4 linked regions of the Cricetulus griseus genome follow. The protein of the gene in region 1 purifies or fractionates together with the protein of each later gene. This does not show direct contact. Links are inferred from orthologs where the notes say so. Each region holds a gene or a part of one and is shown in the gene's direction. Other genes may lie near its edges. The genes, in order: Exosc5, Zfc3h1, Hbs1l and Dis3l.

Region 1 (4,007 bases):
GAGAGAGATGGCTCAGAGGTGAAGAGCACCGACTGCTCTTCCAGAGGCCCGAGTTCAGTTCCCAGCAACCACATGGTGGCTCACAGCCATCCGTAATGAGATCTGGTGCCCTCTTCTGGCAACAGGCATATGTGGAGGCAGAATGCTGTATATATAATAAATAAAATCTACAAAAAAAGGAATAATTTTTAAAAAACAACGTTGACAAAGGGTCCTGTGTGGATTTCTCCCTTCATGACATCAACCAACATACCCCGATGGCCTGTGACAGTGATCGCGCCCGGGCCCCCGCCTTCGCTTCTGATCGGGGACCGCAGGGGTCCAATCAGCTTCTTGCTCACCCAGCTTCACAAGTGGAGTTTTAAGTAACGGAATAAAGAAACGTGGGGCTGATCCTGGCCCACCCCACCCCCGGTTTTCTCCCTCTTCCCCTGACTCTTCTCTCCAAGGAGCGTCCGCGTCCTTTTCTTTCCTTCACGACCCGCACACACCGTAAGAGCAACCTCTGCGTCCGCAGCCACCTCGGGAGGGACCCCGTGGGGCCCAGGTACTTACGGATCTAGCCAAGCCCCGCGCCCCAGGCCGCCGCAGCGACAGGAGAGCAGCCAGGCCCCGGCTCTGTCTCCACATCGCCGCCGCCATCTCGCTCGATAGCCACGCCTCCTCTCTCCCCAGCTGGACCCGGGGCTGCCCCACCAGATGCCGTCCTCAAATGCCGGCACGGTCGGGCCAACAAGCGACTTCACTCCCACCGCCGTGAGTCCAAGACACGAACCTAAGTGCGCGTGCCGATTCTGATTATCCTCCGCCGTGGCTCTAGCCTTCCGCTTATAGCGGCTCCGATATCAGGCAGGAAAGGGACACCCTGACCACAGGCTCACGGGTTGAGGGCCGGGGGGCCTTGGGCGAGGTGGGCCTATTCCAAGACCCGCCCCCTCTCCTTTCTGGCCCAATGGCTTTGCGAGAATCGGGAGGCGGAGGCGGGGCGGGACCAGATTGTTAGTAAACGCTCAGCCACGTGCCAGGGACGAGTCAGGCGCCGCCCAGGCTGGCGCATGCGCAGCGGCCACGCAGCCGCTGCGAGCCGGGCCCGCGAGCCGGCGAGCCCGCGAGCGAGCGAGCGAGCCAGCGCGCGCGTGCGCACCACGGGGGCGGAAGCTACGGCCGCAGGCGGGGCGCGCGTGCTCGGCGGCGATGGAGATCGCGAAGCGTGCGGACGCCGAGCTGGGCGCTGGCACCGCCGCGGAGCCCGGCCCGCGGAGTCCCGGCTGCAGCCTCCGGCATTTCGCCTGCGAACAGAACCTGCTGTCCCGGCCGGATGGATCTGCTTCTTTCCTGCAAGGTAAAAAGAGCCTGATCCCCAGCCCCACTGTGGGGGGCTTGGGTTTCTTGGTTTTTGGGATTTTGGGGGGGACAGGGTTTCTCTGTGTAGCTTTGGAGCCTATCCTGGCACTCGCTCTGGAGACCAGGCTGGCCTCGAACTCACAGAGATCCGCCTGCCTCTGCCTCCCGAGTGCTGGGATTAAAGGCGAGCGCCACCAACGCCTGGTGGGGTTTGTTTTCTTTTCTTTTTTTTTTTTTTTTTTTGGAAGAGCGGTTACCGTGTAGTGTGCAACCGAGTGCGCCCATCTCTTTGAAAAGAAACGAAAAAACTATTTCTAGATACGTAGGAGGGGTCCACACCTCTTCCCCGACTCGAAAAAACAACCAAAAAAATATTTGATACGTCCAGCCTGGAAGGAATCAGGGGCAAGAGCACGCCCTAGGAAGAGTGGATATTCCAGAACAGGTGTAATTTCACCAAGGCGAATAGGCCCCTTGACTAGATTTCCTTCCACACACTTCTCCTGGATCGGTACACCTCCGGTTGAGGCTAAGGTGTTCGTTTGCATGCATTCCCTTTGAGAAGGACTTGTCATCGCCGCTGGGTCAAGTGCGGTGACAGCAGCAGATGACTTGGTCCACGCGAATGCCCTTCACATTGAACGTGATGATCCCCATTCTGGACCCACAGGTATCTCCCCTTCTCCCATCCCATCATTTGAGTAAATGTGTCTGTTGCTTGGTGTATTCATCTCATCAGTGTAAGTGATTGTAGAGAGAAAAGAGGCGTCTCACGACTGACACCCACACAACCCTGCCTCCACCCAATGCCGGTCAGCCAGCTTTGAGAGGTCGTGGGAGTGTGAGGAGCTATCAAAAGTAGACAGATTGGGCCGGGCGTTGGTGCCGCACACCTTTAAATACCAGCACTTGGGAGGCAGAGGCAGAGGCAGGCGGATCTCTGTGAGTTCTAGGCCAGCCTGGTCTCCAGAGCGAGTTCCAGGACAGCCTCCAAAGCTACACAGAGAAACCCTGTCTCGAAAAACCAAAAAAAAAAAAAAAAGATGCCCCAGCAGACTACCCTACAGGCCAGTCTGATGGAGGCAGTTCCTCAGTTGAGATTCCCACCTTTCAGATCTGTCTAACTTGTGCTGAGTTGACAAAACTAGCCAGCGTAGTATCTTCACTTAAAAACAGGATTCATAAAAATGGGGTACGTTCCCCAGGGAGGTAGAGGCAAGGCCAGGTTCACTCAGCTACATAGCAGGTTCAAGGCCAGCTTAGACTGTCTAGGGCCTGATCCCAGAAAATCCAACAGTGAAAACCTACAGAGCCCATGAGCCTGTCACCTGCCTTTGTTGGCTAGCCATCTTGTTTTTTTGTTTTGTTTTTCCCTTTGGACTTTGCACATGCTAGCATCCCTAACCCCTTGGGTTTTGTTGTTTTGTTTTTGTTTGTTTGTTTGTTTTATGGCTCTCCCTGGTGCCTGAGGAGGTCGGAAGAGTATGTTGGGTCCCCTGGAACTGTGGTTACAAACCTTTGTGAATCGTCTTCTACAAGAGCGACAAGTGCTCTTAATTGCTGAGCCATCTCTCCAGCCCACCTGTGATTCACTTATACACATGCATTTACCAGTTTGGAGTTGTGGTATAGAGTGTATTGGTCATTGGGCATTACGGTCAAAATCATGTGGAAACCACTGTTTGAGTGCAGTGTCTTCACTTTGTAGATGGCTTCTCTGTAGCCCACAGAGGTTATCAAAATCACACAAGGGCCTGGAATAGGCAATCAGGGCTAGAAGCCAGGCTTTTTTTCCTCCAGACCCATTTATGCCATTCTGGGAAAATGAGCAGAGATTAAGATCCCTACCCAACGCAACTACAGACCCTTTTTTGTTTGTTTTTTGTAAGGCCTTTTAAAATATTTTTAATAGTATATATTAATTATATGTAACAATGGATTTCTTTTTGGTTGGTTTATGAGATAGTCTTGTGTAGTTCAGGGTGGCCTCGAACTCAGTATGGAGCCAAGGATGACCTTGAATTCCTGACCCTCCCGTCTCTGCCTCCCAGACACTGGGAGGATATACGTGTGTGTGCCTGTGTGTACGGGTGCCCAAGAAGGGCAGAAGAGGGTGTCCATACCTTGGAGCTGAGTTACAAGGTGATTATGAGCAGCCTGCGGGTGCCGGGAACTGCATTCTAGGCTTCTGGAAGAGCAGTGTGGGTGCCGACCTGCTGAGCTATCTCTCCAGCCCCAACTGCTTCTAAAAACTCACCAGTAGCTGAAGTCTGGGCTGGGCTCTGGACTCACTGGCCAGCATCCTGTGTTTCAAGTATCTGTATCTTTTTAAAATGGGTATTTATTTGATCTTGTTGTGTGACACTGAGAGACTGGGCTTACTGCTTCTGTGAGCCACTGTCATGTGATCTTGACAAAAGTGCCTCGAGGGAAGGACTGCAGTAGTCTCCAGTTACAGATGAGAAGGCAGAGAAGAGAGTTGGTGTGGCAGAGGCCTCTGCTGATGTCTCCCCAGGTGACACCTCTGTCCTGGCTGGAGTGTACGGGCCAGCCGAGGTGAAGGTCAGCAAAGAAATCTTCAACAAGGCCACACTCGAAGTGATCCTGAGGCCGAAGATCGGGCTGCCTGGTAACTGGACTCAGCCAAACCTCCCCAGATGCAG
Region 2 (3,565 bases), on another chromosome or scaffold:
TGTGCTGGTGTTTACTGGGGTCAGATGGCATTGTGTCCCCTGTAGCTGGAGTTACAGGAGGTTGTGAGCTGCCGGACTTGGGTGCTAGTAACTGAGCTCCAGTCCTCTGGAAAAGTTAACTGCTGAGCCCCAGTATTGCATATCATCCCACCCCCCCTCGTTTTCTCTAAAGCAAAGGGGGAGAAAATTGAACTTACACCATCACCATATATGTAACCTGTGGTCTCTTATTGAGACATGCTGTTAGGATATTGTGTTTGAGAGGTTATTTCCTAAGATTTTCATTTATATGTTTTCTATTTTCAGATTCACAGAGTTCAACAGCGTGTTACCATTAAGAAAGCTTTGACTCTGAAGTATGGAGAAGAGCTTGCTCGGGCAAAGGCAGTGGCCAGTAAAGAACTTGGGAAACGAAAACTGGAACAAGACCGCCTTGGAGTAAGTTGCTTATAGGAATATTTTTGGAGTGGAAGTTTTTTGTTTTGTTTATGGTATTTGCAAACTAAGATGCATAAAGTAACTTCAACTTTGCTGCAAGTTCAAAGAGAACAAATTATATTAATATCTCTATAAAATCTAATGTATATTTTTAAATGATATCTGCTTTTAAAATTTTTTTTGCATTGGCTTTAATTTTTGATGGTTATAGATTAACTAGAAAAAGTATGTTGACTTGTTGTTTGGCTCTCCTTGTCATTCAGTTCTGTGATGTTGGTATTATATTCTAGTGATATCACAATTATCTTGTGAGGAATTATATATGATTGCATGAAGTGTTATAAAATATTTACTTTCCCCCCAGCCAAACAAAATGATGAGATTTGATAATTCTCCAATATCAAGTCCAAGAAAGCATTCAGCAGAATTAATTGCTATGGAAAAAAGACGATTACAAAAGCTAGAATATGAATATGCTTTGAAAATTCAAAAGTTAAAAGAAGCCCGAGCCCTCAAAGCAAAGGAACAACAAAATCTTGTTGCAGTTGTAGAAGAGGAAGCTGAGTTTTCTTTACCTCAACCATCACTTCATGACCTGACACAAGATAAATTAACCTTGGACACCGAAGAAAATGAGGTTGATGATGAAGTTTCCTCAGGTTCAAACAGAGAACGAAGAAGATCCTTCCTAGAGTCTAATGCGTTTACTAAGCCCAACCTTAAGCACACTGACACCCCTAACAAAGAGTGCATAAACAAACTCAGTAAAAGTACTGTAGAAAAGCCAGAACTTTTTCTAGGGTTAAAAATTGGTGAACTACAAAAATTATATTCAAAAGCTGACAGCTTAAAACAGTTGATTTCAAAAACTACCACAGGCATTACAGAAAAGACTCTGCACGGTCAGGTAAGTGGCATTTCATAGTCTGTATAAAATCTAGAGTTTTCTCAATGCCTCACTTGTCATGTGGAATTATTGTGATGGTTGTTTTTTGCAGGAGATTTCTGTGGATGTGGATTTTCTTACAGCACAGAGTAAAACAACAGAAGTGAAGCCGTGTCCTTTTAGACCCTACCAGAGCCCTCTTCTAGTCTTTAAGTCTTACAGGTAAAAAAGAGACAGTTAATAGTTTGAGTTTCAGGGTTACTCTGGTTCTTGATGTTTTACGTTGAATATGTGTTAATAAATAGAAGCATTTGAATGACAGTCAACTGGAAAACAAATCTTTTATGAGAGACAAAAATATGTTGTATTGCTGTTGTTCAGATCATATCAGAAAGTGCAGTTTAGTGTGTTCTTTGGATTCAAATTCTATTAAGTATTATAGGACTAGAATCTCATGGAAAATTTTATTATTTTTTAAGATAGACACTCATGACATAGCTGTGGCTGTACTGAACTTGCTTTTTTGGCCTCAAACTTGAAGTAATCTTCTTGCCTCTGCCACCCAAGTGCTACAGCATATTATAGGTGTGTGTTACCACACCTGTTCAATTTAGAATTTTTAATTTTAGCATTGGCCAGCCTCTGGAATGTTGACTTAGACATTCTTAGATGGCTAGTGTTGTCCCACAACATTTTCAGAATGCCAGAAGTTGTGGACTGCTAAACGGGTATGGTTTTATGACAAAATTATAAAGCATTTAATAGGCAGCATAGGCTCATACGCTAGCATTTGTATTGGCTGGTAATGTATACAAAAATACTAGTAAATAGCATTTTGTAGTGTGGTAGAAAAAAACCCCTTAGGAATGGCATTGTTTCTTCTGTATTCTAGTCTTAAAGTGTTTTGGTTGTTGTGGTTTATTTGTACTAGGAATTGAACTTAGGGCCTCATACATACGAGGCAGCTCCTCTGCCACTGAATGCTTCCCAGGTCTTTGTTGTTAATGAATTGGAACCTTCCTACATCGTCTTGGCTTTCTTTGAACTCAGTTAGGCACCATGTCATTCAGTTTTCTACGTGATGTCTCTTGTGTTTCCATTGTAAAAGTAGTTGATTCTTTTTACTTATATTCTGGCTATTTGTAGTTACTTGTGGTTATTGATTTGATTAGGTAAACAGGTGTAGAAGTTTTAACTGAGAAAGAAAAATTTAAGAAAATGTCTAGCTCTTAGAGAAATGTGTATGGACTATGATGTGCCTATTCATTTTCTTTCTAGATTTAGTCCTTATTATCGAACCAAGGAAAAGCTTCCCCTGAGTTCAGTGTCATACAGTAACATGATTGAGCCGGAGCAGTGTTTCTGCCGATTTGATTTAACAGGGACATGTAATGATGATGATTGTCAGTGGTGAGTGGTTTTTATTTGGAAGAAACCTTTAGAGAAAGTCATGGTTCCTTGATTAGATAAATACACGGTTGTCTTTTGCTGCTGTTTTATTTTAGGCAGCATGTACAAGACTATACACTTAGCCGAAAACAGTTGTTCCAGGACATTTTGTCATATGATCTGTCGTTGATTGGCTGTTCAGAGACAAGCACTGATGAGGAAGTTGCTTCTGCAACAGGTTTGTAAAGTTTTTGTTGAACTTAGGGAAGTTAAAAAAAATCATATCCAGTTTATGGCATTTTTAAATAACCCATAATTTAGTACATTCACTTGTAATGCTTAACCTATATTTTCCCTATCATACACAATAGTCGCAAGCCACATATTGGCCTTTAAATGTAAATTTAAAGGTTTTTTACTTTTATTTATTGTGTATACAGTGCTCTGCCTCCATGTACACCTGCACGCCCGAAGAGAGCACTAGATCTCATTACAGATCGTTGTGAGTCACCATGTGGTTGCTAGGAATTGAACTCAGGACCTCTAGAAGAGCAACCAGTGTTCTTAACCGCTGAGCCATCTCTCCAACCCTTAAATTTAAATAAAAGCATAATTCATCAGTCTTACTAGCCACACTTAAAGTACTGGCAAGTGCTGGCCAGTAGGACTGCAGAGATTTAAGACGTTTCCATTGTTACAGAGAGTTCTTTAGTCATCCAAATGGTTTGGTTTATTAGGGAAAAAAAAAGTAACACTTGAGTAAGTAGCTTATGATGACTAGACTTTTACTTTCTTTTGCTGTTTTCAAAAGCACAGGAGGACTAAAGTCTTTAGCCTCCAAATCCTGTAGTG
Region 3 (4,017 bases), on another chromosome or scaffold:
GTACTGAGATTAAAGGAATTGAACCACCATATCCAGCACATTTAATATTTTTCAGCACCTTAATGTTCTGTGTTAAGTTTCCTTACATGGGCAAATATAGTTTAACAACTTTACAAATTAGATAATATATGAGTAAGATAATATCTTCACTTACAAAGAGATAGGCTGCAATGTAGAAATTATTTAAAGGTGTAAAATAAAACACTTAAAAACCGTATAAAATTAGCATCTACATTTTTTTGCATAAAATTTTGCCTTGGAGCCATTAAACAATGATAGTTAAGAATAACCATTAAGTAGTCAGAATTCAAACCTGAGCCATTTACGAATATGAATTTGTGTTTTCTCATTATCTGGATAAGAAAAGCTGAGTAAGGTAGAATTTGACATTTGCCTTTGATACAAGGTCTTGGCATTCAAAAACAAGCTACAACAAAGAGGTTGTTCGGTATGATAATGAGGTTGATGCTTTTACACAGCATTATTAGCCCTATGTTTTACAAAACGAGGATGTTTAATAACAGGTTATAGATTTATGTATTATGTAATACATCATGAGTACCCAAGGCTAATGCTGTGTCTGAAAAGCTTGTACTAAACGCTCTTAGCAAGTTCACATGTTTATGTATTCAATCAATGCCCAAGGCATAATCTCTTAATTATTCCGTGTTAATGAAAATAGTTTACATAGCTAAGGCCAGACAGTTGTTTACCAGAGCTGTTAAGGGAGGATGGAGCCCATATCTGAAGCCATGAATTACCCACAAAGCATAGTGACCCAGTGTAGCTGTATTTTAATTACTTGTTTAGAAACTTTTTCTCCCTCTAAAGCTTGGACTAATTATTATGCCACATTTACACACTATTGTGGACGGATATCGTTTGTATCTACAGTCTAAAAGCTGAAACAGAATCCTTGGTCCTTGCTCTTATTGAGCCAAATTGGCAGCTTCCCAAAGGATCAAAAGCCAAATATGGAAAATAATCCTGAACGCCGGTGGTCAAAGATGCCTGCATGTCACGTTCACTGTCAAGCAACAGCGTGGAGGTAGCTGAAAGAATTTCCGGCACTGAAATCCACGTCAGTCAACTGGCTTCTGGGCGCCGCCCGCCGGCTCGCGAGTGCGCGTGCGTCCTCGGGAGGCCGGCTGTGACCCTGAGAGCTTGCCGTCGCGTAGTGCGCAGGTATGACGTCGCGTCTGCGCAGACGCTTGGCGCAGCGGCCTGGCGGAAGCCAAGATGGCGCGGAAGAGGTCTCTAGCTCGCGGTTGGCGCTTTATCCGTGTCTAAGCCGAGTTCTTTGAGAGGACCGTGGCTGACGCCCTGTGTGCCGCGATGGCTCGGCATCGGAACGTCCGAGGCTATAACTACGATGAAGGTGAGTGGCAGGGCCGCGCCGGGCCGTCATCTTAGCTGTAACAGCTGGGTTCCTGGCCTCATTATCTCCGCCTGGATTGGAATGACCCCGGAGCCACACTAGAACTGGGGTTTGTGTCGAGGAGGGGAGAAGGTGGGGGAAAGGATTAGGACATCAGTTCCCAGGGAAGAGAGAGAGAGTGATGGCTGCCTTCTGGGTTGACCTTATTTACGGACGGGTGACAGTGTGGCATCTCAAGGGCCTACGATGTTTGGTGGCGACGTTGGGATCCGATGCTCTTTGGTATCTAAACGTTGCCTCTTTTCTTATTGTTTCATTTGGGGACTCACGCGCCAGTTTCTAACTTTTGTCTCATAAGCCCTCCTTCACACGTGCCCACGAGGCATTACTTACTTATAAAACAGGCTGGCTTAGTGCTTGCATTCGACCGACCTGCTAAAACTATTAGATTTATATAATATCTTGCCTGTGTTCGTGCGTTTTGACTGCATAACCTCGCTTGACCTGAATTTTCAGCGAATTTCAAAATTCGGAACCTAAGAAATGGAAAAGATTCACGTTTAAAAGGCTCAAGAAGTTAAGTCGTTTTGCTGATCTTCAAGTGTATACTCAGTATATTGACTGCTATACTTGATGTAAATGTATTTTAAAATGGAAATATAAAGCAACACTAGAGGGGAGAGCGTGTAAATAGACTCACTGATGTTTTTAATGAAAAAAATACATATATTAATGTATGTAAGGAGTTAAAAGTGATTTTAGGAAGACTTGTTATACATGAGTGGATAATAACAGGTATTTATCAAGCATCATAGAAGCTAAAAATAAAAACAAATGTGATTAAAGACCTACTGCTTTCGGGAACATGTAATGTTGAAGTCGGATGTTATTGACACCCCTGGGAGATTGTGAGCATCAGTGTACTTAGGCATGGACAGCTAACACCCAGTGCTGCATTTGAAGACTTGGACCCAGTAGGTCAGGGATGTCTTACTTTGCAGACGTTCACCGTCAGAATATTGTAGTGGATATCTAAAAAATGCCTTCCACTCCACTCCCACTGAGAAATGACTTTAGACTGGGAGAGATTTTGTAGATATGAAATAAAGGACACCCATCCCTTTTGTATTTTATTTCCTCATCCAGTGATAACTGAGTACTTGGAGTACTGCGTAAGATACTCCTTAAGTAAGGACTGTCTAAAGGGAGCAGCTGGTTAAAACAAGAGAGATTCCACACAATGTAATGACAGTGCTGTGGGAGCAATGTAAAAGAAAACGTCTAAATCAGAAAGGGTCAGGATTTCTTCGTGAAGTATTTGACAAGAGTTATATGTCCTCTGAGTCAGTGCTAAATACCTTTTATCTTGGCTACCAGAGGTCAAGTTATATTTCTTTGTAACAATTGGTGACATCATAACCAAGCCTGCCCTGTCCTGTCATGGATGTTTTTTGCCCTTCCTGCTTACGAAAGTGTAAATCATTTTCAGTGTCTAGTCTTCTTCCCAGTTAAGCTTCCCTTTGGGGTTTCAATAATTAAAAATTCATAAAAGTATTTTAATTTCATTAGTCTGAGGTCTAAAATCTATTGGTTCCTCTTTGGTCTTAGCCTTTAAGCATGCTGTACCTGTTTCTTGAATGCCCTAGAAAGATGGCTGACTCTCTCTTTTGGAATTGGTTTGAGTATTCTATTCTTGGGGAAATTCTAGTTTTCACATGTGTGTTCCCAGATTGCTCTGTATTTTTCACGGTGAGCACTTGTCATACAGTTTTGTAGTCACCCTGTTCTGGGCTATTAGACTTTTGGAGTTGACAGAGCTGGAGATGTACACACTTTGTACTGAAAATGTCTCTGTAATAGTCTCTGGTATAAATTTATGTTCCTTGCAGGGTTTTTAATAGTTTGTCTCATTAACTGGTGAACACATTAATTTAGTGCCGCATGTATGCCAGGTACTTGGTTAAACTAAGTTTTTCCTGTAATTTCTCATGCATTGAAACATGAGTTGTGCTTTGAAGACAATAAATTAAGAGGAGGCTGCTGAAGGTAAAGGTTGTAAGGAAGACTATTGGAGCCTTACCTAGAGAAAGAAGCAACCTTGGGAAAATCTCAACCAAGAACATACTCCATTAAGACTGACTTACTCCACTTACAAGCTCCATTTTAAGACTTAACAGTCACGAAAGTCAGGCTTTCTGGTTCTCCATGAAGAGTGACTTTATGGCTGGATTGTATACCCTATAAAGATATTTGCCTAGAGTGCAATGGGTGGCTTACCTCAGGTTTTGTGAAGTTAGACAATTCACATATATCATCTACAGGATTATTACTGGATTTTGGTCACATGAAAGATGTGAGAAAATTAAATAAAGCCCAATTAGCTTAAAAACAGAAGGCCTATGTATGTTTTAAAAGTATACATTGTCAGTAATTTAGATTGTTATTAGTAAATATCTTGGAATTTATGGAAAAGTAGACATTTAGGTTTCTTGAAAGTTGGTATTTTCTTATTTTGTAAATTATTCAGGTGTTTGCTCATGAATAAAGAAGACATGATTGAACTTGTAATGAATCTATTTTGTGTTTTAGATTTTGAAGATGATGATTTGTATGGCCAGTCTGTGGAGGACGATTATTGT
Region 4 (3,565 bases), on another chromosome or scaffold:
CACCACTGCCCTGCAAAAATTAATACATTTTTAAAATTTTTAATTCTGAGCCGGGCAGTGGTGGCACATACCTTTGATCCCAGCACTTAGGAGGCAGAGGCAAAATTGATCTCTGTGAGTTTGAGGCCAGCCTGATCTACAGAGCAAGTTCCAGGACAGCCTCCAAAGCTACAGAGAGACCCTATCTCGGAAAAAGAAAACAAAACAAAAACAAAAAAAAACAAAAACAATTTAAATTTTGACAGTCTTTCTTTGTTTAAGCCTTAAAAGCAAACTAGATTTCTGTATTGAAAAGAAACTTGTGGCTAAAATAAATTTAACTGCTGGTAGATGAAGATATTTAAATCAAGGAGTAGAAAGTGTTACATGTAAATTGCCTTTGGAGACCCATCAATGCATCTCTGTTTCTTGTTAGGTCCAATAAAACCCTGGCTGACTCTCTGGATAGTGCAAATGACCCCAGCGACCCTATGGTGAACAAGCTGCTGCGCTCCATGGCCACCCAGGCCATGTCCAATGCACTCTACTTCTCCACCGGATCCTGTGCAGAGGAAGAGTTCCATCATTATGGTGACTGACAGCATTGTCTTACGTATGGCTTAACCTTGAGCAAATCTTTTCAAAAGTGCTCTTGTCTTTCCTTTACTCTGATGCTTTGGTTTCCTTTTGAAGGTCTTGCATTAGATAAATATACTCACTTTACTTCTCCAATAAGAAGATATTCAGATATTGTTGTACACCGACTATTAATGGCAGCCATTTCAAAAGACAAGAAGATGGAAATGAAAGAAAGTTTGTTCAGCAACAAAGATCTTGAGGAATTATGCAGACACATCAACAACAGAAACAGAGTAAGAAGGAATTTCAAACTCCTACCTGTCTCATAAGAGGGTATCAGCTTTACTGCTTAAGAGAATGAGAATTATTATTGTAGCCAATGCTCTTAATACATTTACTAGTGTTCTGAGATAACATGACTTGTGGAATACTTGCTCTTTGATTGTTTGTTTTTGAGACAGGGTATCATTATATAGACCAGTATGACCTGTGCCTCCAAGATCCACCTGCCTCCCAAGTGCTAGGATTAAAGGTGTGTACCACCATGCCTGGCAGTTTTGTTTTGTTCAGATGAGGACTCACTGTTATTTCCCCAGGCTGAGTTTTCTTTCACTCAGGGGACTCAAGTGACCTTCCAGCTCAGCCTCTGTATGTTCTATGCCAGACTTAGCATTAGAGGCCTGTCCCAAAAGGTAGAGATATAAAGGTTCAAGCAGCTGGGTATGGTATAACCCCATCATTCAGGGCATGCAGGTTTAAAATTTGAGGCTAGCTTGATTTACATTAGCAAGATACACATATGTGTGTGTGTGGGGGGGGGCAGGCATGGTGGCAGATGCCTTTAGTTCCAGCACTTGGGAGGCAAAGGCAGGCAGATCTGAGTTTGAGGTCATCCTGGTCTACATGGTGAGTTCCAGAACAGCCAGGGCTACACAATAGTGAGATCCTGCCCCCCCTCAAAAGTTAGCATTGTCTAGAATTTTGGAAGGGGGGGAGTGAGACAAGGATTTTCTTTTTTTTTTTTTTTTTTTTTTTTTTTTTTGGTTTTTCGAGACAGGGTTTCTCTGTGTAGCTTTGGAGCCTATCCTGGCACTTGCTCTGGAGACCAGGCTGGCCTCGAACTCACAGAGATCCGCCTGCCTATGCCTCCCGAGTGAGACAGGGATTTTCTATGCAGTCCTGGAACTCACTCAGAGATCCATCTGCCTCTGCCCCTGAGTACTGGGGTTAAAGGCGTGCGCAGCTGCTGCTGCTGCCAGCACCACCACCACCACCTCGCTTAATTTTTCGTATCTTTAAAACCTCTTAAATTCTATTTGTTTATTGTGTTTATGTATCTATACATTCAAGTGAAAGTCAAAGGACAATTTGTGGGAGTTGTTAATCTCTTTCAGGAGTTAGTTCTTGCCTTCCACCTTGTCTCTGAGACAGGTTGTTTCTGCTGCTGCACTGTGCACTCCAGGATAGCTGGTGAGCACAGCTGTGAGCTTCTGGCCAAGTCTTCCGTCTCTGCCTTTCATCAGTGATAGGAATGCTGGGATTACAGATATGCACTACCATATCCAGCTTTACATGGGTTCTGGGGGTTGAACTCCGGTGATAAGGTTTGCACAGAAAGAGCTTTTACCCACTGAGGAGCCTTCCCTTCACGTCTTACCTGCTGCTTGATCTATTTTTTCTTTTTCTTTTCTTTTTATTTTATATTTTTTTTTATTTTTCGAGACAGGATTTCTCTGTGGCTTTAGAGGCTGTGCTGGGACTAAAGGTTTGCTCCACCACTGCCCAGCTTTCTTTTCTTTTTTGAGAAGGTATTGCTGTGTCTCTTCTTCTTTGGTTTAGTTGAAACAACAGCTTACTCTGGACGGCAAATCCTCCTGTCTTGGTCTCCCAAGTACTGGCATTACAGGCTTGCACCACCACACTGTTGAATCCCATCCATTTAAAAGCAGTTTCTGTGGGAATGAGTTTCCTGTTTCTTCCTGGGTGTCAGGGAACTCTGTTGTCATGCTCCAGGTTGTGCTTCTTACAGGCAGCCCAGCATTCTCAGAAGCAGTCCACCGAGCTCTTCCAGTGCATGTACTTTAAAGACAGAGACCCAGAAACAGAGGAGCGATGCATGGCCGATGGAGTGATTTATTCAATTAGAACAAATGGTGTGCTTGTATTCATACCAAGGTATGTTACTTCTCATGCAGTAATTAATGAGAAATCACAGTTAAATTATACCAGTGCTGAACACAATAGATATATATATAACTTACTAAGATATTTATTTAGACTGGGGGTGTGTGGCTCAAAGGTGGAATGATTGCCTAACACATATGAAGTCCTGGGTTTGATCCCAGATAGCATAAAACCAGGTATGGTGACATATGCCTGTAAAGCAAGATCAGAAGTTCAAGGTCATCTGTAGCTATATAATGATTCTGATGCCAGCTTATATGAGTCCTTATCTCTAAAAAAGAATATAAGCTTGGCATGGTGGGATATGCCTTTAATCTCAACACTCAAGAGGCAGACAGAAGCAGATCTCTGAGTTTGAGTCCAGCCTGGTCTTCAAAGCAAGCTCTAGGCTAGCCATGTCTACAGAGTGAGATTTTCTCAAACTATATATTAGCATATGCAATGCTACATATATACACTATTCATAAAATTACTGTATGTACACAGTATACAGTAGTCAGAAAATAATGGGAGCAATTAGGAGTGCATATATATGCATATCTGTATCAGTCTTAGGATCTTAGCCAGCAAAGCATTGTTTCTTATCTGCTTCTGTAAAAATGTTTTTGGAAGTGAACCACAGGAAGAGTGGCTAAGCATAGAAGATCTGCAAACTAAGAATACATTATCTCGGTTTTACCCTTTTGATGATTTTAGGTTTGGAATTAAAGGTGCTGCTTATCTGAAGAATAAAGATGGCTTAGTGATCTCATGTGGCCCAGAAGGCAGCTCAGAATGGAAGCCAGGATCCCTGCAACGATCTCAGAACAAGATCACCTCTACC

Evidence for each region.
Region 2: the proteins of Exosc5 (region 1) and Zfc3h1 purify together in Homo sapiens (affinity purification with mass spectrometry; 3 studies listed by BioGRID and IntAct, with this or other methods). This does not show direct contact. The link is inferred for Cricetulus griseus from reciprocal best matches to the Homo sapiens genes EXOSC5 and ZFC3H1.
Region 3: the proteins of Exosc5 (region 1) and Hbs1l purify together in Homo sapiens (affinity purification with mass spectrometry; 3 studies listed by BioGRID and IntAct, with this or other methods). This does not show direct contact. The link is inferred for Cricetulus griseus from reciprocal best matches to the Homo sapiens genes EXOSC5 and HBS1L.
Region 4: the proteins of Exosc5 (region 1) and Dis3l purify together in Homo sapiens (affinity purification with mass spectrometry; 5 studies listed by BioGRID and IntAct, with this or other methods). This does not show direct contact. The link is inferred for Cricetulus griseus from reciprocal best matches to the Homo sapiens genes EXOSC5 and DIS3L.

Annotation. Positions count from the first base shown.
Region 1 is NC_048602.1:9,460,843-9,464,849, reverse strand, and holds the start of Exosc5 (exosome complex component RRP46), read left to right. Parts: upstream 1-1,146; 5' UTR 1,147-1,194; coding exon 1,195-1,342; intron 1,343-3,859; coding exon 3,860-3,973; intron 3,974-4,007. Other genes in the region: Bckdha (2-oxoisovalerate dehydrogenase subunit alpha, mitochondrial), read right to left, coding at 556-642. UniProt on the Homo sapiens protein: Non-catalytic component of the RNA exosome complex which has 3'->5' exoribonuclease activity and participates in a multitude of cellular RNA processing and degradation events.
Region 2 is NW_023276806.1:140,718,283-140,721,847, reverse strand, and holds part of Zfc3h1 (zinc finger C3H1 domain-containing protein), read left to right. Parts: intron 1-306; coding exon 307-438; intron 439-802; coding exon 803-1,345; intron 1,346-1,436; coding exon 1,437-1,546; intron 1,547-2,602; coding exon 2,603-2,734; intron 2,735-2,829; coding exon 2,830-2,951; intron 2,952-3,565. UniProt on the Homo sapiens protein: Subunit of the trimeric poly(A) tail exosome targeting (PAXT) complex, a complex that directs a subset of long and polyadenylated poly(A) RNAs for exosomal degradation. The RNA exosome is fundamental for the degradation of RNA in eukaryotic nuclei.
Region 3 is NC_048595.1:268,535,291-268,539,307, reverse strand, and holds the start of Hbs1l (HBS1-like protein), read left to right. Parts: upstream 1-1,198; 5' UTR 1,199-1,335; coding exon 1,336-1,378; intron 1,379-3,967; coding exon 3,968-4,017. UniProt on the Homo sapiens protein: GTPase component of the Pelota-HBS1L complex, a complex that recognizes stalled ribosomes and triggers the No-Go Decay (NGD) pathway.
Region 4 is NC_048597.1:175,922,921-175,926,485, reverse strand, and holds part of Dis3l (DIS3-like exonuclease 1), read left to right. Parts: intron 1-415; coding exon 416-570; intron 571-672; coding exon 673-851; intron 852-2,587; coding exon 2,588-2,733; intron 2,734-3,438; coding exon 3,439-3,565. UniProt on the Homo sapiens protein: Catalytic component of the RNA exosome complex which has 3'->5' exoribonuclease activity and participates in a multitude of cellular RNA processing and degradation events.